2 linked regions of the Astyanax mexicanus genome follow. The protein of the gene in region 1 interacts with the protein of each later gene in a pairwise test. Links are inferred from orthologs where the notes say so. Each region holds a gene or a part of one and is shown on either strand. Other genes may lie near its edges. The genes, in order: jade1 and yju2.

What was found.
Region 2: the proteins of jade1 (region 1) and yju2 interact in a two-hybrid assay, tested with the Homo sapiens proteins (2 studies listed by BioGRID and IntAct). The two-hybrid records come from large-scale screens. The link is inferred for Astyanax mexicanus from reciprocal best matches to the Homo sapiens genes JADE1 and YJU2.

The regions. Positions count from the first base shown.
Region 1 is NC_064421.1:35,252,485-35,265,073, reverse strand, and holds the start of jade1 (protein Jade-1), read left to right. Parts: upstream 1-6,581; 5' UTR 6,582-6,740; intron 6,741-11,305; 5' UTR 11,306-11,340; coding exon 11,341-11,389; intron 11,390-12,589. Other genes in the region: asmt2 (acetylserotonin O-methyltransferase 2), read left to right, coding at 729-847, 1,159-1,296, 1,732-1,854, 2,307-2,518.
Region 2 is NC_064411.1:46,958,323-46,971,653, reverse strand, and holds yju2 (splicing factor YJU2), read left to right. Parts: upstream 1-6,598; 5' UTR 6,599-6,705; coding exon 6,706-6,729; intron 6,730-7,862; coding exon 7,863-7,963; intron 7,964-8,057; coding exon 8,058-8,202; intron 8,203-8,293; coding exon 8,294-8,428; intron 8,429-8,590; coding exon 8,591-8,772; intron 8,773-9,524; coding exon 9,525-9,681; intron 9,682-10,401; coding exon 10,402-10,558; intron 10,559-11,366; coding exon 11,367-11,497; 3' UTR 11,498-12,281; downstream 12,282-13,331.

The sequences.
Region 1 (12,589 bases):
CCTGGATGTGAGCATGGTGGGAGTAGGATCAATCAGGCGGAGTGTGTTGTTTGATTGTTTTGTCTTCTGGCTAAAGTGACGTGATGATATGTGACACTTTCTGGGTCAGAGAGTTTCTGCTGAAGAAATTTAGAGCTTGGATTTGACTCTTTGTGACAGGCTGCCATTGTGTGTGTGTGTGTGTGTGTGACTGTTGAAGATTAAGAGAAAGAGGGAGGTTGTAATATTTGAGCTGTATGTGTGTGTTTATTTTAGGAGTGTGAGTGTGTTCCTTTGCTTGTGGGTGTATGCAGAGAGCTAGAAAATTAGAGGTCATTGTGCCTTCCTATATTTTATTTTGTGTGTGTGTGTGTGTTCATGGTACACAACATGTATTGTAATATTTTGACACAATACTAAGAAAAGCAATACTGTTGCCTGATTTAAAAAGTGCTGTTTAATGCTATAAACTAATTCAAAACTCTGTACAGTAGTTTTCATAACTTTAGTTTGGTTCTACAGCTTTCTTTTATTTTATGCTGAAGTATATTCAGGTAACTGGACTTTTCAGACTCTAGCTATTACAATAAGCAGTAGTAGTATTCTTTAATTCTTACACTATCCATAGAACATTAAAAAGTCACATGTATATACAATAAGAATGTTTAGATGGCTAAAGTGTGTGTGTGTGTGTGTGTGTGTGTGTAATTTATTGAGTGTGTAGCTTAAAAATATTTTGTTCATTTCAGGTCGGAGGAAGAAATGCTAAAGTTTATGGGTTTGATGAACTCAACGTGGATCATTGATGGTCATGATATAGTAACAGCCTTTGACCTGTCCTGCTTCAAGTCCATAGTGGATGTTGGAGGTGTGTTAACCCAAGCCATTCATTTGCACTTTAGCGCAGCTGTTAATGCTCGGTAATGATCCACACACCCATTCTGACACACTGTAATACACATAGTGGGGAGTAGTGTCTGTTTTTTAAGGAAAGCACTAAAGAAGAAATGTCCATGAAGGTTTTAGGCAGAGATAAAGTTCTGAAAGTGGGTCACTGTCAAAGGGAGCAACAGAATTTGAACATGTTTAGTTAATACACAGATAATAGTTTGTGGATTAAGATTAATCGATTATTTTAAATTTGATAATAATATTTATTAATATATTGTCTCTCCTCAGGCTGTTCTGGAGCTCTGGCACGTGAGTTAGCAAAAGCCTACCCTGCTTCCACGGTTATAGTTCTGGACCTGCCCAAAGTGGTCCAAACAGCCCAGAAACATTTCATTCAAAGTGATGACACCATCCGGTTTCAGGAAGGTCAGTGGGGTTCTTATCAGAGATTACAGACCTAAATCATTACAGAATCATTAAGAGAATTTGTTATAGCTGTAAATGAATCGTTTATAGTAACTACTATCCCATGAATAGTTATAACTGAATCATTCATAGGGGTTACATGACCATTTGTAGCAGTTACTAAATTCTTTATAGCAGTCAGTGAATTATTTATAGCAGTTAGTGAATCTTTTATAGGCGTTATCGAGTTGTTAGTAGCAGTCAGTGAATCATTTATTGCAGTTATGGAATCATGCATAGCCGTTTTTTTTGTCCTAGAACATCATTGCAGCCCTTAGATCATTTTTAAGATGATGAAAGACACAGATTCAGTCAGGAAGTAACGTGTCGATTTGTGAAGAGAAGTAGCTGGATGTATTTTTAATTAAATAACTGATTAATCGCTGGTGTGTTTAGGAGACTTTTTTAAAGAAGACCTTCCTGCAGCTGACCTGTACGTTCTGGCGAGGATCATTCATGACTGGAAGGAGGAGAAGTGTTTGACTCTGCTGAAGAAAATTAATGCAGCTTGCCATCCAGGTGAGCACACCAAAGCAGGTTGACAGGAGCTAGCTATGAAGCTGTTGAGCTGTTAAGAGTTACATCCACATTACATTACCTGCTGAGTTGCTGTGGTGCCTAAATACTATTGCAGCAAGGTTGGGTGGTTCGAGGAGGACCACAGGGCTGAAAGCACCATTTGGGAGAGCAGAAGTATTACATTTACAAATAACCCCCCCAAAAAATAACTCGCACAGTAGTCATTTATAGAGCACAAATGGAAATTGGAAATAGGAGTGAACTAGGGCTCGCTTCCTTCCTTTCCTCTCTGTCAGCTTCCTTTCCCTGTTAGACTCTGCTGCAGGGAACTATTATCATGTATAGTCAAGGTCTTGTCAAACATTTTTACATTTTCTTTCTCCCTCTTTTAGCTGAAGTGGCCCATTAAAGCACAATTGTATCTTCCTTCTTCTTTCTCTCTGTCTCTGTAGGGGGTGGTGTTCTGCTTGTAGAAGCTTTGCTGTTTGAGAACCACAGAGGTCCAATCATGGCTCAGATCTTCTCTTTAAACATGCTGGTCCAGACAGAGGGCATGGAGCACCCACCTTCACAATATACACACATGCTCACTGCAGCCGGATTCACTGATGTGCAGGTGTGCAGGACGGGCAAGTCCTACGACGCCATTCTGGCTCTCAAATGACCTTCACCATACATCCACTGATGCTGTGTCATGGTTGGATCTTTAGTACACTTCTTGTAAAAAAAAAAAATCTATAAACGTCCAGAACCTACCTTACACACTTCAGATGCACTTGGATATAATTTGGTAGAATTATTATAATAGATTATAAAGGGACCTGTTCAGATTAATGCATCATGTTGCTTTTTTGTACACACTGGGACCAGGATCGCTATATCAATTTGGCTTTTGGCCCCCTGCACAATTCTTAAACACATCATTAGTTACTTATAGGATTGAACTGGAGATATCAGTAGCAAGGAGTTTTAGACCACTGAGGTTAAGTAATGGTGTCAAATCAGAAAAAAAATAAGATTCCAATATTGGAGGGCTAAAGAATTGCACATTTAAGTGTTTTTCCACACTGAACACACAAATCACGCACATATTGAGCCACAGGTAGCCACACTAGAGCCAAGTATTGTTTTTTATTGGGGTAATGGCTTATCAGAGTCCCCCCCCCCCCCAACTTAACCTAAAAATACCCTTTATGGACCAAAGTTTTGAGGCATGTGGTTTTTCCCTGTTTCTTCCTTTTAGCATTAGACAAGAGACTTGGTGAGGACAGGATGTTCATCACCACCCCAACTTATCCCATCTCTGCATAAACTATTGTGCCTTTGCACATCTATTGTATTGTAGTGAAGGGTGCAAATTCAACTAGCTGCATGCATTCATTAGAAGGGGTGTTCACAAACATTTGGTCAAATGGTATGTGTTGGTTATACTGAGAAGTTTGAGAAATGACTTTAAATGACACGTGCTATGAGACGTACAGACGCGTGGGAACAAAATTAAAAGCTTAGCCATAGCCACACTTAGAGTATGCATTTGCACCACAAATGGTTGAATTTATTAATTTGTAGGAATGTCCACCATTTTGGCATATATATCTTGTTTGCTTCTTTAGTTAATGTTAACTGAAATTAAGGTGCTAAATGTAGCTAACAAGTAATGGAATTATGTAATCTAGCTAAGATAAAAAGCTAACAGGCTCCAATAATGTTTAAAGACACACTCCTAACTCTCACATATTAAAAATTATATGTGATTTAATTGTCTGTTAAGAGCTTCATATGTCTGCAGTCACTAAATAGAGCTGTTAAAATAATTCACCACTGTTAGATAGATGCTTCTACAATAGGTAACACCCCATTATTAGGCTAGTGAAAGTAAACAACAGCTAATTGTAAAGTAAATCATAAGGTTATAAGAAGAAGTCATTCAGTAATATCTAAATTCTTAATTATGTTGTTCCTTTACTGTTTAACTCACTCTTTGGAAATGTATGAAAATAACCAAACTTTATTTTTTTCTTAATGTACTGCATTTTTTTATATGTTTTAAAATCACACAATATTTGAAATGTATCTCAATATAAGCAAATACATGAACATTTTTTTTCTGTAGGAATGGACAGAGATCAGACTTTAAGGCTGAGATTTTTTTGAGTCTTTTTTTAAGAAAGAGGCACAAAAATAATTTAGGGTTGAATTGTATCAGTGTTCTGTTTTACTTGATTTTTTGTATTCTAGCATGTTTCCAATGCATGGTAAAAAAAATCATGTTTATGCATGCTAAAAAATATACACCCTTTCTATAGCCCACTCTGGCCCTGGACTTTATGGAGTGATTTCCTATTTTACAAGAGCTCCTCTGTCTGATTTGACCATGTCTTCAATTCGACCTCCTCCTAGTACTTGTCTCAAACACTCCATTTACCTCCAATATTTACCAAGTGTCGCAATATAATTATCCCCTTCTTACTGATCATTTCTCATATGGAGTTACTTGAATTGCAATTGTTACACTGTTTTATGTATCCCTTCTTTCATGAATATTTGTTAATAAAATGTCAAATTAAATGTTCACAGTGGATTTAATATTATTTAATATTATATCAATTACTGTCAGTTTTAGTAAAATATGAAAACTAAAGAAGAGATGTCCTTAAGGTGATAAATGTGTGGATTAAGCATATACAACCAACATCACAAACACATCAAATCAAAAACACAAATAAACAAACAAACAGAACAAAGAAAAGTAAGACTAAAATAAAATAAAATGTAAAAGCTGGAATACAGCCTCAGACGTCCCAGGTCTCCTAGAAGTTGTGGTAGTCCACCGCATATCAATAACAACTCCCTGATGCCTGCAAGTCACATAAAATCTCCTGGATTCTACAACAAGTGGCCCCAAGTGAACACAAACGCGAACACAGTGTGTGTGAAAGAGTGGGAGGCGCCTCCCTCATGTGCATATTCATGAAGCGCATGCAAAACAGCGAAGGTTCTGATCGGCATGTTCATTTCAAAGCCAATCGGTTTTTAGTGTTTGTGGGCAGTGTTCTTTCCCATCCTAAAAGGGATGCCTTCATTACGTAATGCCCGGATCAGACTACATGATTTTAGCCCGATTTTGACCTGATTTTGTCGGTGCCGTCAAATTACGTACGTCGGATCCGAATTTCAGTGTCTCAAGCGACAATGGTCCGTGTAGTGTGACACAGTCAAACAGCAGTAATTTGACGTGAGCGACACCGTCGGAGCGTCCGACGGAAAGACTAGCATGTTAGAATTTTTTTGTATTTAAAATTTTAACACATTTTACCTCTGACTACTCTAAAGTATATCCATGTCTGGTAAAAAACAATGAAATTTTTGCCCGCTGTACAGTTTGTAATAATGATTTTAGCATTGCCCACGGCGGACTAAATGATTGCAAAAGGCATGTTGAGGTGAGTTGAGAAATGTATTTTTGTAACTTAGGATGTCTGCAGCCAAACATACACAGGGCACTATACCCAGAGTACCCAGTTTACATAATCTCCATGTTTTTGTATTATAAGAGGAAACAAGAGATCAATATGAAAACTCCACCCAGAGAGGGACTTGAATCCAGAACTGGAAGACAAACGTGCTAACCACTAAGCCACCACGCGGCACTAATACATCACCAGGCCCTGTAAAAACAGTAAATTACCACAGGATTTTGGGGCAAAAATCAGTTGAAACACATTTAATTTTCCAGATTAATGTTGAATGAATACTTTGTTTATGTTTGTATCAACAGAGTCAAATTCTAATTAAATGTTGATTTAATTAGTGTAAAAAACATTAACATTTGTAATGCAAAAGATATTCAACGTCTGTTATGTTAAGGGATTCTGATTTAAAACGCCATACAGGTGAGTAAGAAGATCTGAGGAAGATAATTATAATAAAAAAACAATGCCTTTAGTTAGGAATACAGCGGATATGCTTGTAAGTATGTACAACTGATTATTTTTATAGGTCATTTAAAGAATCACAGCTATATCTGTCAGAGCGTTCTCTCTTTATTTTCACTATCTGGACCCTCGCGCCCCCGCGTGGCAGTGCATGGCAGCGCGAGTGGCAGTGACGCACGATTTTAATGCACTTAGTGTCTGCATGCCTGCCTTCTTTGCCAGTTTAATAACTGCATGGATGAATGATGATTTGTTAAACATGCTTGCGATAAAACGACCCTCGTGGAACAATCATGTACTATATTTTTTATTATATTTAGTGAGACACTTTTAGGCGCTGACCATGGTAGCCTAGCACATTTTATACTGCATTGTAACTTTTTTTCTCGTGCCTTTTATTTAGAGTTAAGATTAATAATTCTGTAGCGCAGCAGCAACATCTTGTAATCTGTGTGTGTGTGTGTGTGTGTGTGTGTGTGCCCAAATTTACTGAGTCACCAATGTTACAGTTTAGCGCTTTGGCGCCCTCGCGTGGCAGAGACAGCATATTGCAATGCAAGAGCTACACAACATGTTTTTCGATGTTTCATGTATTTTTGTATTTAACGTTGACAATAGTAATGACGACAGTAAATATGTGAAATAATGAAACGTACGTTTAAGAAACGTTTAGCGATATATTGTATGAGCTCACTGCGCATCATTTCAGAATGAGGTTGTATGCCCTCTAGTGTCCACAAGGGGTAACACAGAAGCCAGCAAGCACATACGTAGGCTACGTAACGTGTGTGTGTGTAGTGTAGTGAGAGGTTGTGTATGCGCGAGCAGGGGTGGGGAGGCGACAATCTGCTGCCGTGCCGCCTGAACTCAAACTGTGCGCAGCACCATTGGTTATAGCACCATAGAAAACGCAGCCAGCGCAGGACCTGCAGCGCGCGCCCAGCCATGTAGGTAACGTTACCCGTCCACGTTTCATTAACGTTACATTCACCGCTTCTGCAGCACGCGTTTCTAGAGCCAGAGCGTCCACTCGGCTCCACGCTCTCGGGAGAGGAGGGAGGGGGATGTTTAATTTTGTTTAAGCCATTGCTGGAGCCTTTTTAGCCTGATCAAGACGGGCCGGTGTTATGTCGATTTGTGCTACCCTGTCAAAACGTGTTACACTTGTGTAGCGTTGTTGTTGTTTTAGGTAAAACTCCCTAAATGAAACAGTGGGTAGCATTAGCTAGAACATTCGATATACATCTTAAGCTAGCAAAAATACAGTGAAATATTTTAATCACTGTTTTAAGGTAAGGATGATAAGCTAATATAAATATAACGGATATGATTATTTTTTTCTTTCGTAATATCGTCACTCCATTAATACCAAGTAACCCCAGATCGTGTTATTATGATGCATCAGATGGAAACACGAAGAATTCTCATTAAAAAAAATGCAAAAAAATAAAAATAAAAGTGTGTGGGTAAGCGCGTGCGCAGTGGTGCAAGTAGCCAGAGTTGCCAGGTTTATGGTATTTCCGCTAAATTAGGCTTGTTTGAAAATCCAGTCGCGGGTGAAAATTCAGGGGTCGCAGGTTGCGTTATTTTGGGCTACTTTTAAAAATACCGCGGCCGCCACAAAAACAAAACAAGTCTTAAAAAATGCAAAACATCACAATGTTACCAGAAATTACCATGCGATTAAAAATGTTAAAGAGGATACAAGGAAGTTCAGGAGGGGGAAAGAACAAAAAAATTGTTCGTAGAAGTCATTTACTCTGGAAATTTGTTACTATTAAATGTTCTTGACTGGGATATGAAACTGTTATTAAATAACTAATAAAACACTAATGTTACAATATTGTTTATGGCATAAAGATAAATAGCAATACTGATAAGAAATCCTTCATACAAAAACTAAGTCGTTCACTCATGGTTGTTTTGCGATTTGCTTTAAATGTTACAGACCTATTTTGGACTAGTTTAAGCTTTTGAAGGGCGGGTTTTAGACTGATTTGGGCTGGATATTTTGGTGGACCTGGCAACCCTGCAAGTAGCACACATCGCCGGGTAGCAGGACTCGGCACAGCACGGGGAGTTGGAAATGTAGTACGTCATTAAAATGGCGCCAAAAGATTAAGTTCTGAGGGAAAAATAATAAATAAATGGAGAGGATGAAGAAATATTAGCACGTTTTGACCCCAAACTAAGGCGCTGCTCTCCGTCTCCGCCGAGTAACGCGCGATTTTCGGGACGCTGATGCTGACGGAGAGCCGCGTGCAAAAAAAAAAAAAAACGGTGCAGCCTTTAGCTAGTTTTATTTCTGCCTGTTTTAAACTTTCCCTCTGTGCTCAGCTGGTCGTAAACCAAACAAACAGAGCTAGATGTCGGGAATAAATATATTTGAATATAAATATTAATTGATATAAGTTAATTGAAATCTCTGCAGTCAGTCATTTAGTTAGATTATGTTGTTGTGGTTGTTTTTGTTTGAGCTCCACATCTGTTAGCGTTTGCCCGTTAGTTAGTTAGTTAGTTAGTTATCTTTTCACCTCAAGAGCGCTTCTAGCTAATAAATTTGTCATTTTAAATATTAGGATTAATATTAGTTAGTAAACATCATTGCCAAGAAACCACTGTTGATGAGCGTTGTTTACCGGTGTTCTGTCGACTTGTGCTACCCGGTCAAACCGTGTTACCCTAGTGTATATATAGTTATTTAACTGTAAAAATGCAACAGAAACGCTATATTAGAGCATGATCTCAGAAGAAGTCCCAGTAGATGTAGCGTGAGCATATTTGGATAGCATAAACCACTGTATCATGGTAAAGCTTATTGTAATGAGAGGTTATTACAAACTGCATTTGATATTTTTTAATAATATATATATATTTTTTATTAATATTAATTTCCAATTACACATTTATATCTGCAATGACCGTTAAAATGAGTTAAAATTTTTATTAAACATTTATTATAACAAAAAAAAACACGATCAATAATTTAAGTGTTAGGTCAGCGCATGCGCAGTGCCTTTAGGAAGCACGTATCGATGGGTAGCATAACTCGGCAGAACACCGGCAGCTGTAAACAGCAGCAGCGTGCGAGCAGGGAGGAGAACGCGCGCGAGCTGAAAATGTGGAGTTTAAAATAGCTGTTGTTTTTAAATGTAACGGTTATTTCAGCTCCAGCTAAAAACGTGTTTTAGACGGGTTACAGGTTAAAACCAGTAGTTTATAGTTTAGGACAGGCACGCGCGCCGACAGCTGTCCCGCGTGCGGGGGGCGTGGCCTGTGTGTTTCTGTTTTTAGCTCGTAAGTGCTGTAGATAAAACTTCATCCTTGAGAAAAAAGGTACCCAGTAAGTTACCTGGTAACCCAGGTCCAGAAAGTACAAATCTAACCCAAAGTTTTGTACCAACTACCTGGGCGGATGCAGCCCTGGGTTCAATTTTTGATTTTTTCTGGACCTGGGATTCCCATCTCTATTAAAATGGAATCTAGTGCTAATTTACGGTTTAGTACAAAACAAGCAGAAAAACGCAAATCGGATAATAACACATGCAAGTTTAGTGTGTAATTAAGTTTAATAAAAGTTCAGTACAGCTAAACAGAGATATGTCATTGTCCAAATAAAAAACAAGTTGCTCGAACTAGAAATTACAGAAATAAACTCTTTTTATATTTGACATCCATTGAAAGTTAGGAATGTGTCATCGCTCAGTTCCTGGGGATGCTGAACATTAGTTGCTGCTTTTACTTCCCGCTTTGAAGCTCCAGCTCAGTGGCGGATGGAGGATTTTTCTGAGTAAGGTGCCATCAAGGGGCCACAATATCCATAGAGGGGCCAAGTATTATTTCACCATGTTCAAATACTTAAATGTAATTTTAGGAAGTTTACATGATACAATCTAGTTCATTTTGTGCCAAAACTTGTACACAAAACAAAAACTGCAATCAAGATTTTAAGGATCAAAAATAATCAGAAGTGCATGTTGCAAATTCAAAACAGAAAAAAATATATCAAATATATACAGATCTGGAAAAAATGTAGACAGCTTTAGTTTTCTGAATTAGTTTCTCTGATTTTGCTATTTATAGGTATATGTTTAGGTAAAATGAACATCGTTGTTTTATTTTATATACTACGGACAACATTTATCCCAAATTCTAAATAAAATTGTTGTCATTTAGAGCATTTATTTGCAAAAAATGAGAAATAACAAAAATGAAAAAAGATGCAGAGCTTTCAGACCTCAAGTATTCATATTCACACAGTTTTAAGAGTTCAATATTTGGTGAAATAACCGTAATTTTTAATCACATGCATTAATTTCCATGCATCTTGGCATGCTCTCCTCCATACACACTGCTTTTGGATAACTTTATGCCACTCCTGGCATACATTCAAACAGTTCAGCTTAGTTTGAGGGCTTGTGATCATCAATCCTTCTCTTGATTATGTTTTAGAGGCTTATTTTTTCCAGAGCTATATAATGTAAAACATGTGATTTAAAAAATATATATATTTTAATTAAATAATTTTATGTATTTGCTTACATTTTTGTGGATTGTGCTGCTAAAGTCGTTTGCTGCTGGAATCTCTTGTTTGCTTCTGCTTTTTTTGCTTCTATATGTATATAATCTGTTATTTTACTTTCAGATTTTATACCGTTGTGTAAAACCTTTGGCACATTTGAACAATTGTCTGTGCATTTTTACTGTACATAGACAAAATGAGTGACAGGACAGGGGCACTTCAGGGGGCCAATCAGATTTCAGCTTGGGCCAGTTGGGTTTAGGTCAGAAGAATGAGGAGAACAAACACTTTATTTTGTTTAATACATAATTCCTTTAATATGTCTTTAACATAAATCCACATTGTAGAAAATAAAGAAACAATACTCATACTGCATATTCATACATATATTTACATGAGCGCTTGATGACTGGGTTATATTTCTCTGTAATGCTGATCCAAAAAAAAAACGCTTCCTATTTATTATACATGCAAAAATGAAAATTATTGGTGGCAGGCTACTCACGGTTTGGCTACATTTGTGATACTGAGTTTACAGTTAAATTGTTTCACAATATTCTGAACAAACAAAATATCTAGCCTTGCTCCATATACAATTAAGTCTAGAGCTGGTGACTGGTGCCGATATTTATCAGGAAATGGCCTAGATCTAATGTAGATATTATGATTAATATAATTCATATGATATCTGTTTTGCAAAGTTGAGTTCCAGTGCATTGTGGTGCATATAATATTTGTTTGAGTTGTTATTGTATTGTTACTTAATATAATAAGAGAATGTGTAATTCTGTTACTAATAATTAGTAGTTGTTGTTATTAACATCATTTATGTTCTGGTCATTATTGGCTATTATCATAACCTGCTCATGCAAATATTGGTCAGCTGTGTTGTGAGCAGCTTGTTGGGAGACAAACCGCAGTGGTGGTCATTAGCTAATGTCCGAGACCATCTGCTTTCTGTGTTTGGGGTCTAAAATGAAACTGCTGTGTGCAGATTGGTGAGGCGTTAGGAGACAGCGGGTGCTGACAATGAAGCGAAACCGGGTGCCCAGCACCAGCGAGGAGTCTGATAATGGAAGTAAGCACTTTTTCAGTTTTTGCTTTCATCCTTCACTCTCTGTTCATCCCACCTTGCACCCTCCCCCCTTTTCCATTCTTTCTTTTCTCGTAATAAACTAAGCATGAACATGCACTGCCTGCCGCAGCTGCAGCTTTTCAAACCCACGTGTTTGTTAAAAATGCTTGCTGCACAGGTGCACACAGGCATGTGCAGGAGCAGAACCTAACCCATAGGTGAAGAGCAGGGTCAGGCAGGTTCACAGAGGTCATCCCAGGTCAGGCAGGCTGAGGTAAAGCTGTCTGTGTTTAGGGGAGCTGAAGTTGAGTCAGCTGTAGATTAGTGACTAAGATCAGTTAGTCTGGGACTGAGATGATGTTAGTTTTGCTAAGCAGTGGGACTGAAGGTACCATTAAAGGGTCCCTACCCCATCTTTTTTGTATGAAGAACTCCATTTGTGTGATGTGTCATTTTGCCATGGAGTGAATTATGGTTTGGGGATTCGACCTTGCTAATTAAGACTTGAACCCCCCCAAAAGGAGTAAAAATATTAGTTTAGTGGGGTTATATTAATATATTACTGAGCTATATAAATATACTACTAGATGATTAATACTAATCATACTAATTGCTACTTTATGTTGTCTAGGGTGACCATATTTTCATTTGGGTAAACCAGGACATCTGGTAGCGGGGGTGGGGGGAGGGGGGGGGGGTGGGGGTGCACTTACTGTGAGACTGCACCGGAAGGGGGGGAGGGAGAGCGCCACGCTGACAGTCACGCTGTCTACTGCTCTCTGGTCCAGTGAAGGTAATTTAAAAACCAGGACATTTCCTCTCTTTCTGGAAAAAAAAAACCCTGGACGCCCGGGACAGGAAGTGAAATACAGATGTTTGGTCACCCTAATGTTGTCAAACGTTGTGGTAGCCTAAATTGTACCTGCACTATAGTTCATGGTAAAGAAATAATGTAAATCTGGCAGTAGTACCATAACACTTTATGCTGTACTAGACTTTCATAATGAATAGATCAATAAAAATGTTCCAAAAGAGATCACTGGTTCGTATTTCTGTCATGTAGCTTGCTAGTTCTATTGAGTGGGTGGGATAATCGGCATTGCTAAATATGGTTGAAAAAAAATGAAGAAAGATAAAAAAAAAAAAAAGAAATGTTTCAGAACAACTCTATAGCATGGACCTAATAAAAACAAGCTTTGAAAA
Region 2 (13,331 bases), on another chromosome or scaffold:
CTGGACTGTAGAGACAGCTACTACAACGAAAGTATAGTCTTTTAATAATGTTGTCTTTTAAGTGTAAATGTTAAAGAGCTTGTATGTGTGTCAGTTCTTGAACTGTTTATCCTTATATCTGCAATTAATAGTGATTAAAAACATAGCCATCAAAGAGATAATAAAGCCTTTAAAAAGTTTGACAGATTAATTTTTAGTCCAATTTTGAGATATCACAAGCATGCACTGAGCCAAATAAGATCAATGTCAGCTATGCGAGTGGCTGCCAAACTGCAATGACTGTTAAAACTTTAAAGTTCCCCAAATCCTTCCATTCTAAGAGAAATGCCTACTGAGTTCTGGGAATTTTGTGCGTTAGTTTGTTTGTTTATCTTTATCTCCAGTTACCGATCTCTTTCCGGTTTTGCGGAGAGTGCAGCATGTGACATTTGGCCTACTTCCCTTAATCTGGTTCAACTTTCTGTTCAGCTGTAATTTCTTTCTCTCTCCAATGCGGATTTCACGAAGCATATTGGTTGTGCAATAGCAATAAATTATACTGCACTAAATAAAGCACTACAAACAGGTGCACACACACACACTTCAGACAGCAGACTCAACTCAACATGACCTCTATGGCAGCTTACAGATTGGATTAAACAGCTTTTGATTTAAGGTCTATGAGGAAGTAGGCATGAGTTCATTAGGACAAACTTATTTTTTTAGCTAAATATATCCAGCTGCAGTTTTGTACCTTCTCACACCTTACTCAGCTTATTACCACCTTCTTTAATAGGAAAGGGTTCTGGAAAGGATTTAATCATCATTCTCAAAAGAGTGTCTTTTTAGGGTTCCTATTGTATGTACTCAATTAGAAAAACAGCTCACTTTTAGGTATGCTGCTCTGTCTGTTTAAACTTTGCTTAAGATACAGGTGTCATTGGTCCATTCTCCATTCTTCAAGTGTGGGAGCGGGCAAAATAAGGGATGTATAAAATATATGGCAACCAGAATAAGTGAAAAGACCACATAATTTATCCCAAACAATGCCGTTGTTAATGACAACATTTAATCGCAACCAGTGTAGAATGAACCACTCCTTCTCAATGTAGCAAACTTTTGTACGCTTTTGTAAATCTTGTCACTAAAAGGGGTGAGGGTGGGGGCATCCAAGAGTTTGTAGACAGGGAAGGCTTTACAGTAGATGTTACTTAGTAAAACAGATGGAGTAAATACTATAAGAATCTGAATGCATGTGGCCCAAAGAAGCATTAGCCAGAAAGGTCAGGTACTGATAGCGCATGTGTCGCTGCTTTAGAACATCCCATTCTTTAGGCAAAACTTGTTAAGATTATGGCATATGCATACAAGGCTAAATTTCAGCAATGGGCTCACTTAAAAGCCTCTGAATTTTATTAGATTTTGAAAATTACCTTTTATATTAATCTTGTGGCTAATAATGCACCACAAGTTTAACCTGTGTGTGTGTGTCTATCATTAGGGCTTTCTATCCACCACGGTCTGCCCAAACGACTGCAGCATTCTTTATGTATTTCAAAGTAGTCAGAATTCTGTTAATTGATGTAAGTAACACTGTATTCACTGAATGGGAGGCCATAAAATCATACAAACAGTACAAGAATCAGCCTCATTCAGAACCCTTTATCCTCGTTCAAATCTTTATTAATCTATCAAGTCTATATAAGGCAAAGTGGTTTAGAGATGGGGTTTGAAATTACTAATGAAATAAACTTCTTAATTTAAATCACTGTAGTTTAAAAATAGACCTATTATCGTGGCTGCAAACTGAAAAACACAAAAATTGAGACTTTTTTTCTGGCATATACTGTATCTGAGATATCTACATCAAAATCTTCCTAAAATAAAATTTTTCAAGTATTTCAAGAAACACGAAAAACATATGACAGTTGTTATGGCTATCTGAAAATGAGCAATGGTTTAACAGGATAGTTTATCATACAGTCGAACAGTAGAACCAACCATAAACAATCCTAAATCAATTTGTTTTAAATACTGATTGAGAAGACAGAAAACAGTTAATATTTTATATTAATCCATAATATTTATGGAAATTCAGAAACTCAAAAAAAAAAGACTCAATAATAACACTAAACACATTATAGTGAAAATCTTATCACTTACCAATTAGAGACAAGCCCTGAATCATGAAGATTAGTTTAGTGAATGTAGCCAGCATCTTGGAAAGCTTTTAACATTGTCTGTTATTTTTAGCTTTTTTAATGGTTTAATGTAATACATGTTTTTATTGATTGCAGTTTATGTTAAATAGCATAATAAAATCTGAAAGAACTTTTCCTAAAATAGTTTTATTACCTTGAGGAAGCCTATCTTAGCTTTTGTAACTGTGGAGTTTTTCTGAGGTAGGTTAACTTAGTTAGCTTAGGTAGCATAAGGCTAAGTCAGCTAACTAGCTAGGTTAGCTAAGCTAGTTTAAATTGAAAAGTTTAAATTGAGAAAAGTTATTTTTTCCATTGCATAAATTAAACATTTTTAATGTACTTTTGTGTTGCTACAATTTTTGTTACAAAAATCTTCTTACACATTTTTGACTAACTCGTTTCCAAAAAACTGTTTTAAGTGTTTATTCTGGTAAATTTAACTAGTTAAATTAGCTAGCTAGCATTAACCTAGCTATCTAGATAGACTTTTGACATTATGGCAGCTAGCGTGTTAGCTTAGCTAGGTTAACCAGCCTATCTAGCTAGTTAGGTTAACTATTTCTACACTGTTTTAATGTAATAAATATATTATTTGCATTTTTATGTTGAATATAATAATAAATTCTGAAAACACTTTTCCTAAAATAGTTTTGTTAACTAAGCCAATCGTAGCTTACGTAACTGTAACTTTTCCTGAGGTAACTTGGTTAGCTTAGGTAGGTCAAGTTAGCTAACTAGCTAGGTTAGCTAAGCTAGCTAGTTAGCGTAGCTAACTAAAAGTTTAAATTGAGAAAAGGCGAGGTTATTTTTACCATCTCCTAAATTAAACATTCTTAAACCTTAAACCTACTTTTGTATTGCTATATTTATTGTAACAAAAATCTTTTTACATACAAAAATTTTCTTTGCATTTGTGACAGATTTTTTTTCTCCAAATAACTAACTTAAAAGTTTAAACTGAAAAGGGTTATTTTGTCCATTTCATAAATTAAACCGTTTAAGGTTAGATGTACTTTTACATTACTTTTTATTAGCTAACAACAATTTTTGTAACAAACATATTCTCACAAAGAGAGTTTTATTTGCTTTTTTGACTGGCTCCTTTCCAAATAACTGGGTTTTAAGCGTTTATTCAGGTACATTTTGTTAGATGGGTTAGCTAGCGTTAACCTAGCTAGCTAGGTAGACGTCCGGCGGCTAGCGAGTTAGCTTAGCTAACTAGGTAAACCAATCTAGCCAGCTAGTTAGCGTTAACTGTTTCTAAGTTGTTTTATTGTATTAACTACATTTTTATGGTGAATATCATAATATTTTTAAGTACTTGTATTAGCTTACCTACATATTTACTCCAGGGAAGCCTAATTAAGCTTTTATAGCTAACTAACTGTTAGTTGACATAGGTTGGCTAAGCTAACTGGCTAAAAGTTCATATTAAGAAAAGTGGCGGTTATTTTAACCTACTTACGCCTGAACTCTGCTGATCACTGCATGGCGTCCGCGGCTCCTTCTCCCGCTCTCTGCCTCTCTTTTCTCCTTCTCTTCAGTTCGCAGAAGCAGTTTGTTCAAACTTTAACATCCAAAATAGCTCCATGGTGAACGGCGGTTGGTGTAAGAAGCTTCAGCTACAGTCAGAACTCCGAGCGAGGAGCTGCTGAAGAGCCCGTCTCTCTGCGCTCAGCCTCGGTCTCCTCACTCACAGCAACAGCAGCATCAGCAGCCGCACTTCACTCATTCTCTCAGCTCCAGGGAGTTTATAGCTATATATCCCAGATTTTTACATTCACAGCAGCCTGCGACCACCCCGGTTCCACCACCACCGCTTCCCGCAGCTCACACACATTATTTCAGTTTTTTCTCTTTCAGAAAAGGAGAGATGGGGGGAATAAACCGCGCGCGCGTCCCCTCCCGCCCGCGCGCATCTGAGCTGAGGGATGGGGAAGGGATTACGGCGCGAGAGACGCGCTCTGTTTTTAATTATTGTGATTATTCATCACTCTTAATCACAAACGAATAAATAAATATATAAATGAGTAAATAAATAAATGCCGCGTGAATGGATAATTATGTGGGTAATTACGTGGGATGGAACGTGTAGAGTAGCCTATTCTTTCATGGGTGACTTCGGTTTTTGCTGTGAATTTGTTGATTTTAACCTTCAATATCAATTCAGCAAATAGTATGTTTAGCACAAGTTTTACAACTTTCATCAAGCTGTTTTGGATCCGTTTTTTTTAGCGGGTGCCGGCATTTTAACCAGCATTTAATAAAGCAGGCTCGCTTTTCAGCTGCCGGGGTTGGCCAAGACTTCAGTTTGTGCACTTTTACGCGCCCCATGCGCTTTTTTTTACGCGTGCCCTGCGCTTTTACGCGCCCTGTGCAATTTTAACGCATGTCACACGTAAAAGCGCACGAGGGTTCTATGCGCTTTTATGCGTGTTTGTGCGCTTTTATGGATTCCGGGCGCCTTTACGCATCCCGTGCGCTTTTATGCATCTCATGCGCTTTTATGCGCCCTATGCGCTTTTACGCGTGCCATGCGCTTTTACGCATAGTGCAAAACAAGATAAAAACAAGATAAAAACACTCTCAACAACAAAAGCACTACTAAGGTAGAGATAATGGTGTAATTCATCTGTAATTTTTAATATTCTAATATTTTTTTGAAACATTGTTTTCGAATTTGTTCTGTTTTTTGTGATATTTTTTTATCCACATTATAAGCAGTAATATACGAATTTGCTCTCTTTTTTGAAGTAAAAGTAAAACAATTTCACTTAAACCCAGTTATGTAAAAAACAAACAAAATAGCTACACGAAAGTAACTACACAAGTGTATTCTGGTGTTTTTTAACAAAGAAATTCTATTCTGTTTATAGACTTTAAACCCAAAATCCAGATATCTCACTCTCTGGGAATATGATAACTAATAATTATACAACTATTAAAACAACTTAACTTTCAGTGAAAGTTAGTATGAAAAGATTTAGTTCAACGCAAGAAACAGCTTAAACTGTTAATAACTTAAATGCTGCAAAAACCTAAAAAAAAATGAATTTTTGTGGAGATACACAGCCCAGCTGGCCACCAACGGCAATAGACGTTAATTTCATGTTGAATGTTGGTCATGACGTCAGATGACAAAAAAATTACGCCAGGATAACGTCTAATACTGTTACGTGCCAGCGTGGAGAGATTGGATATGAGGAATTTGCTCACGAAGCTGGGTTGCGGATACATCAGAGTTTCAACAAACAGTTTATTACTCTCAATCGGCCTAAAACAAAACACCTTCTTTAAGGTGGTGCTCCTGCTGCTGTAGACTACGGTTCTTCAATCCTGGTCCTGGCGCCACCTGCCCTGCTAATGTATGGCTTTCTCCTCTCTCAACACACTTGATTTAATTCAACAGCTTACTAACAAGCCTTGTCAGAGTTGAAGTGGGTGTGTTAAAAAAGGATTTTCATTAAAATTTCTTATCAAACATAAAAAAACTTTTTATCTAATGCTCGAATAGAAATCCTCAGGATTTATTCATATAATATCAAGCAGAAAAGTGTCAATCGAGAAAATATTATAGAAAAATACATACTAGTAAACTAGCTCGTGACCAGCATGGTGTATGTTTTTTTTTTTCTGGATGACCAGCTAACATTAATCTGTATTTTTAAAAGAATAATATATTTCTATGACAATTTCAGATATTTAATTGTTAATATTTTAGTGCAGGCATCAATATAAAGCTCTGGAAAAAATAAGAAATCACTTAAAAATGATGAGTTTCTTTGATTTGACCAAATTGAAAACCTCTGGAATATAGTTAAGAGGAAGATGAATGATCACAAGTTATCAAACCAAGCTGAACTGCTTGGTGGCATAAAGTTATCCAAAAGCAGTGTGTAAGACTGGTGGAGGAGAACATGCCAAGATGCATGAAAACAGTGATTAAAAACCAGGGTTATATACCCTGATTTCTGAACTCTTAAAACTTCATGAACATGAACTTTCTTTGCATTATTTGAGGTCTGAAATCTCTGAATCTTTTTTGTTATTTCCATTTTCAACCATTTCAATCATTTTCTGCAAATAAATGCTCTAAATGACAATATTCTTATTTGGAATTTGGGAGAAATGTTGTTAATAATTTATAGAATAAAACAATGTTAATTTTATTCAAATATAAATAGCTAAATCAAATAAACTGATTGAGAAACTGAAGTGGTCTCTTAATATTTTTTTCAGAGCTGTATATGACATCAGCTGTCGTACCACCATGGGTTGCTCTGTGGTTTAAGAGCAGCTTGCCTAGAAATATTAGGAAAAGAAGCATTAAGATTTGATGCAATATCGCCCTCTTCTGCCTCATATTTACAGTGACATCACTGAGGATGGCTGCAGTTTTCCCGGGTGTCTATATGGGGCAGTAGAGAGCCAGTCTGACTGTTTCTCCGTTTCTCTGTGGAAGAGAGTGAGACTGAAAGGAGTTGTGTGTTTTTCGGGCTGTGTTTTTTATTGATCTGCTGCAGTCATGTCGGAAAGAAAGGTCTTAAATGTAAGTACATTAAATACTCTTCTATTTCTACTTGTGATTAAATGAAGCAAATGAATAAGGAAGCGATAGGGTTAGTCAGAATGCTAATATGCTAACCTGTTAGCTACATGAGGCTAACTGACTAAGTTAACCTAGCGCAGGTCTGAAGATAGCTACAGACACTAGCTTAGCTAACCCAGGTAAACAGATAACCCAGGTAAACAAACACAGATAAATACATAAACTCGAGTATCTGCTGTTAAACGAAACTATTTACACAACATAATTTCAGAACGTGATAAATTGAGGCTAAACCCCTGTAAGACGTTTTCATTAACTTACCTGGCTAGCCTAACAACTATTTTGTGTTAGCTACATTTCTAAATTAATTTGTTTGATGTGTTTTTCCTTATATACTGTTAAATATTTAGGTCAGATTTAGAAATATACTTTAGAATTAAGTTATTAAAAGGTTCACGAACTTTCAAGCACAACTACAGCTACTTACTTCCAATACATTTTAAAGTACAATGTTACAGTAATAGTCCCTCGAATAGTTCACTCGAATAAAATATTATTTTGCTAAGGTTGCACAATATTTCATATATATAAAAAGAATATCCATGTTTTCAGTAGAAGTGACCAGAATTAACACGTTTAAGAAAATGGTAACCTGTTTTTTTAGTAATTATGTCATGTAAAAAAATAAAAGCACCACAGATTTCCGTTTGTATCAAACACCAAAAAAAGTCGTAACATTACATGTTTGATATAATTTGACATCCTACCTGATACCTGCACAACTTGAGCAGATTTCTGAGCAGAATTGAGCGATATTTCTGTTTGGATCAATTTGTTTGACTTGGTTTTCCTTATATACTAATATGACTTGTGTCAGATTCATGCAGAAATATGACAAAAAAAAAAAATAAAGGGTTCAGAAACTTTTAAGCACCACTATAACTACTTTTGTCTGTGCACATGCACAACTTGAGCACATGCTCATACTGCTGCATAAAGATAAGATACTCTTTTCATAAATGTATAGCAATAATTTTAGAAAATCTAGCATGTTTCTACATGTTCTTGGACATACGTTTTGTGTTGTTGTGATGACTAATTTGTTTACACACTGCATGGTATTGCTTTTGTAGAAATACTACCCCCCAGATTTCGATCCATCTAAAATCCCCAAGCTCAAACTGCCCAAAGACCGGCAGTATGTGGTCCGATTGATGGCTCCATTCAACATGAGGTAAGAGACTTAGAAAATTCATTACTTACATGACTGGTTAAATTGTGTTGTTTGTTCGTTGTTTGTTTAAATGTTTCCTATCTCTTTGCTTCAGGTGTAAGACGTGTGGAGAGTACATTTACAAAGGGAAGAAGTTCAATGCAAGAAAAGAGACAGTACAGAATGAGCTGTATATGGGGCTGCCCATCTTTCGCTTCTATATTAAATGCACAAGATGTTTGGCAGAAATCACATTTAAGGTAAGCAAGTGAAGTAATAAAAAAATACATGGAAATTACATTTCCATCTTCACTGCAGTCTTAACTTTCTGTTTTTCACATTTCCAAATAGACAGACCCAGAGAACACAGACTACGCTATGGAGCACGGTGCCACAAGAAACTTTCAGGCTGAGAAGCTGATTGAGGAGGAAGAAAAGAAAATCCAAAGGGAACGAGAAGAGGAGGAGCTAAATAACCCCATGAAGGTAATATTGAACAACTTATTTTTTATTTGCAGCATAATAAATACTTATACTAAAGACCACCATTATTTGTTGCCTTTATTATACTTTCTACTTAACCATTAACTTTTCTCAGATACGCCAGAATTCTGTTTAGTTATCCACATGCTCTGGTGTTTCCATCAGGTTCTAGAGAACCGTACACGGGATTCAAAAATGGAGATGGAAGTCCTGGAGAACCTACAGGAGCTGAAGGAGCTGAACCAGCGGCAGGCTCAGGTGGACTTTGAGTCCATGCTGGAAGAGTACAAGGAGCTGGAGAAGAGACAGAAGGAGAAGGAGCAGGAGGAGGATGAGAGAGAGACCAAGTATGTGCTTTATACTACTTGTGCTTTATACTATACTACCCAAGTATGTGGTAAGTATAAAGAAATCTTCAGCCTTTATTTGAATCTTTCCTGGAAAAGGCTCGAAGTTGCTAATGATGAAAGTTGTTCATGCCAGAATGTCATTCCCTGGTTTGAACGTGGACGTTAAACTGTAAAACAGCCTATAGTGAATATGCGTTTACAATGAACTTATACAGAGTGTTTTAGTCCATTTTTTTCATTTTGAAACAATACACAGTACGGTCCAGTCAGAGCAGATGTCATTTGTATGTGTTAGGTTAGTAAGCAGTTGAAGATGCAAAAACAAGCTTAACTTTTAATGGCAATCAGTGTGTACAAGTTTTGTTCTCTCAGATTATGGAAAATGAAGAAACTGGTGGGATGATGCTATTTTTATAGACTATATGAATGAAAGAACTGTTTGTTCTGTTCAGGGAATGTCTTCTAGTTTTATGAGCATTGCTGTGAGTATTTGATACCCCTCTATCCTACACCTGGCATTGGGCAAGGTGGCATGGTGGCAACAGGTTCATGTTTATTTGCTCCAGAATGTAATATTCCAATAATAATACTTGTATGTTAAAGGTTAGACAAGCTGGCTGTATGCATACATTTTAAGAACTGTCCATGTATTTCTTAAAAGACACTTTTAAAAGACACTTGGTCTCAAAAATGTTCACATGTCTATTTTCTTTTTCCCCCCTCCGCTTTTTTTATTTCCCTCTCTGCAGAGAAATGCTGGATAGAGCTTTAGTGAAGAGGTTGAGGGACTCTGACTCGGACTCGGACTCAGATCAGGAGGAAAAGAATAGAAAAGAGCAGCAGAATAAAAACGCTGCTCTGAAACCCACAGATATCCTGACTACAAAGGAAGGAGCAGACATAAAGGTACTTTAAGGAACAAACATATCCTTGCTGCTGCCTTGTGAGGAGATGGACAGTGATATTTGAATCTTACTGCTGGTTTTTACAATCTATGAAAAACTCTGCATAAAGAATTACATTGCTTAGGAATGTTCATTTTCTGGAATTGGAATTAAGTTTTACAGAACAAATTTGTTTGTCCATGAGATTAATTTGTCTTAATGAGATATGTAATTTTAGATTCTAGTCAACTCTAGGTTCTGAAATTTTTGTTTGTCCATTTTAGCTTCTTTTTCCCCAGATTTCACACATATAAATCTTCTATTATCTTCCATTTTTGGTTCAGTTTTGCCCATTTTTTTTTTATAATATTGCCCACACTGGTCTTAGTTATCTTCCAAAATGTAAAGTATAGCTAGAGTAAAGGACATGTTAGCATTGTTGCTTTAACCCCTTGAACCCTTGGTTTATTGATCAGTTAGTCATCATAAGTAGAAATTATCTCAAGGCCAATCAGGGCCTCTTTTGTATCCTATGAAGGTTATGACTAATGTTATGAAGGTCAAGAACTGGGGGCTACAAATTCTTTAAACAATTGAGTTGGATAGGTGTAAACTTCTAATCTGAATGTTTTTGTAGTTATTATTATTATTATTATTATTATTGTGTTCTATTGTATTTTGTATTTCTCTATAGTTGACTTATAGCTTTATATTTTTACCCATCTTTTCACCGTCTCCATAGGGCTCCTCCACCGGGGTGAAACGCCAGAAAGTTGAGAGCTGGGAGAGGAGTGTTGGAGGTTTGGGAGGAAAAAGTGCACTGGGATCACTTGTAGTAAGGAAGAAGCCTGCAGCCACCACAGCTACAGTACAGCAGCCGACAGCTGTAGGCCAGACAGGTACAAATGCAGGGGACTGTACATGTTACATTAGAATTAGTTTACCAGTAAATGTGTAGTCAGTGGTTTGTTTATTTTTTATACTGCATATTAAATCTTGTCGAAAAGTGGGGATTTTGTTTGCAATCATTTTTTACCAAAGTATTCCAACTTTTTGAAATTTGCATCCACTACAAAAGCTTCTTCCAACCACAAGATTTAAACTACACGCCATTTAAAATTGGAAATAAATACAACACAAGAATTAGTGTGGTTTGTTGACCCTACATCATAAACATAAATAAATATCTGAAACTTTTTTTTGTCATTTGTTCCATGGTTGAGGGGTTGCATACAATCAAAATGATTTACAATAACTTTCACTGAATTGGCAAAAATAGCTGTCTTATTTCCTAACCTTTTTTCTGTTCGACCAAACAAGCGCAACATAAGTATATTTATTTTTTCAAATCAGCATCCCAATAATGTTGTAACAGTTAAAATAACAGTTAATGATGAGAATGAATGAAAAATAAGAATGTTTAGATTTAGAAATACATGCACATTTCTTTTATTGTATATATGTTTTATCAACTTTTTAGAACAAATTAACACTATATTTTATGCCTCCCAGAACAACCAGGTTAACTCTACAGCTTAAACCCCAAAGTCAAGTTTGTGTAATAAAAGAATGGAAAAGGAACACTTAGGCTTAAGTTATCAAGCTACCTGTGAGCTCCTGCTTTGTGAAACCTCTTTTTGTTGTGACAGATTTGTATTAAATTCTATTCTAAAATATATATTTTTCTATCTTCTCATTCATATGCAGCTTCTTCTAAAACTGCAGAGACCTCTGCTACAGCCACTGCCGGCAGCAGCCAACCAGTGGTGGTCCAGAACGGTTCCTCTCTCAGCCTGCTGGGGGCATACTCGGACAGCGATGACAGCAACTCTGACTGAGCTTCTAGTGCATTAGTGCTGATGAAGACTATTTTTACTGTTAAAATTCGCATAATACAGAAAAAAAAATCTTTCCCCCTATTTTAAGGTGGAGAGTTTTGTTGGGTAGATATTTTATTTGGACATAATTTTTAATAATATTCTAGTTGATGGATTTATAATTGAAGTAAAGACATTTCCTCAGTCATGTTTATCATATTTCTTGGTTTTAAATAAGAAGTTTTTTCATGATGCCATTTTATTTACTAAAATATCTCACACACATCTCCCTCACACAGATATGATTACTCTTTCTTTTTATGGTTTGTCATACAGCTCACACACATGCCCTATCTTTTGTTTGATATGTTATTTTTACTACTTTTGTTCCTCCAAACTCGATTGATAATCCTTTCATAGTAGTGCAAAAGTCTCTAATCCACCCTGATTTATATATTGAGCTTATCTGACCTTATCGGTTAGGAGGGTGGTGTCACCCAAGCACAGCAGATGGCTATTTTCAAACTAGCCTGAGTTTGTTTTTCCTGAGAAATCAAGACAAATCCTGGACCACTTCTAGTTAAAACACTTAAAACACGCCCTCTTCACTAAAACCTCCTCTTAATATGGGACTTCAGTAGTGTACATGTAAATGTAATGGGAGGCTGATATATTTTAACATTTATAAAAACTAAAGTAAAATCAAATTGATGAATATATTAGTCACTGGAATAGTATTTTAAAGTGTTAATATATTCCCAAGTAATTAAAATGGCTGGTAAAAAATAAACATCATTAGAATACATTTTTTTGCACTGGTTGTTTTCTGTTAAACAAACATGCATTATCCAAATTATCTTGTACAGGTACTTAATTTAGGTTGAATAGGTTTACTGTAAACTACCTCATATTGTATTTTTACTTCCACTATAACAGTGGCAGTAATTCAGATAAAAAAATGTCAATGAAAATCAAAGTATATTATTTATTTAGGCCTTTTTGGAGCATTGCTATTGGTCTATTTAGCAAAAATTCTGGTACACTGTGAAGAAGACCTCTTTACATTCCACATGACTAAATGTAATTTTGCAGCTACATTTTATTTTAAAATTGAAACTCATCAATGTCTTCCCCATCCTTAAATGTTCATTAAAGATCTTATATACTTAAATTTTTTTTACTTGGATAATATTGTAAAAATATTATATCATGATATTTATAGACACTTTTACAAAATATTATTTAATAAAAAAGAAATCGCAGATAAAATGTAACACTATTGCAATTTTAACCTGTGGCTCTACAGATTATAATTAATTTTCTTTTTTTAAATATAAATCATTGGATTTATTAATTGCTCTTTTTTGCTTTTCATTTTGGACATTTATGAAATACAACCACCTGGGATGTGGTCGGTCTATCTCACTGTCTCTCTGTGTATATGTCTTGTCTATTTGTCCACTTTTTAGCAACAACTTTGTAGCCTATATATGCATGGATACCATCTAGCAACACTTTAGAATCCTCACCGTCCTTGTGCATATACTTGCTGTCTCTTGAAAAAGAGGTATATCCATTTTTGACAATTTTTAGTTTTCTAAACACAATGACATTTCTCCAAACTGACACTTACACTCTGTCGGAATTTATTGATGAATGGACCAATAGAAGTTCTCCAAAAATACCTTAAAGAAACTCTTTTTACATTGACTTACACTGAAATTTAAGAAGGTTTAACTCTCTCCTGTAAAGTTAATGTTTTGGAGATACATGTTTTTCTTTGGACGGCAAAGATTTCTACAGTTCTGGAAAAAATAAGAGACCTCTTAAAAATGATGAGTTTCTTTGATTTTAC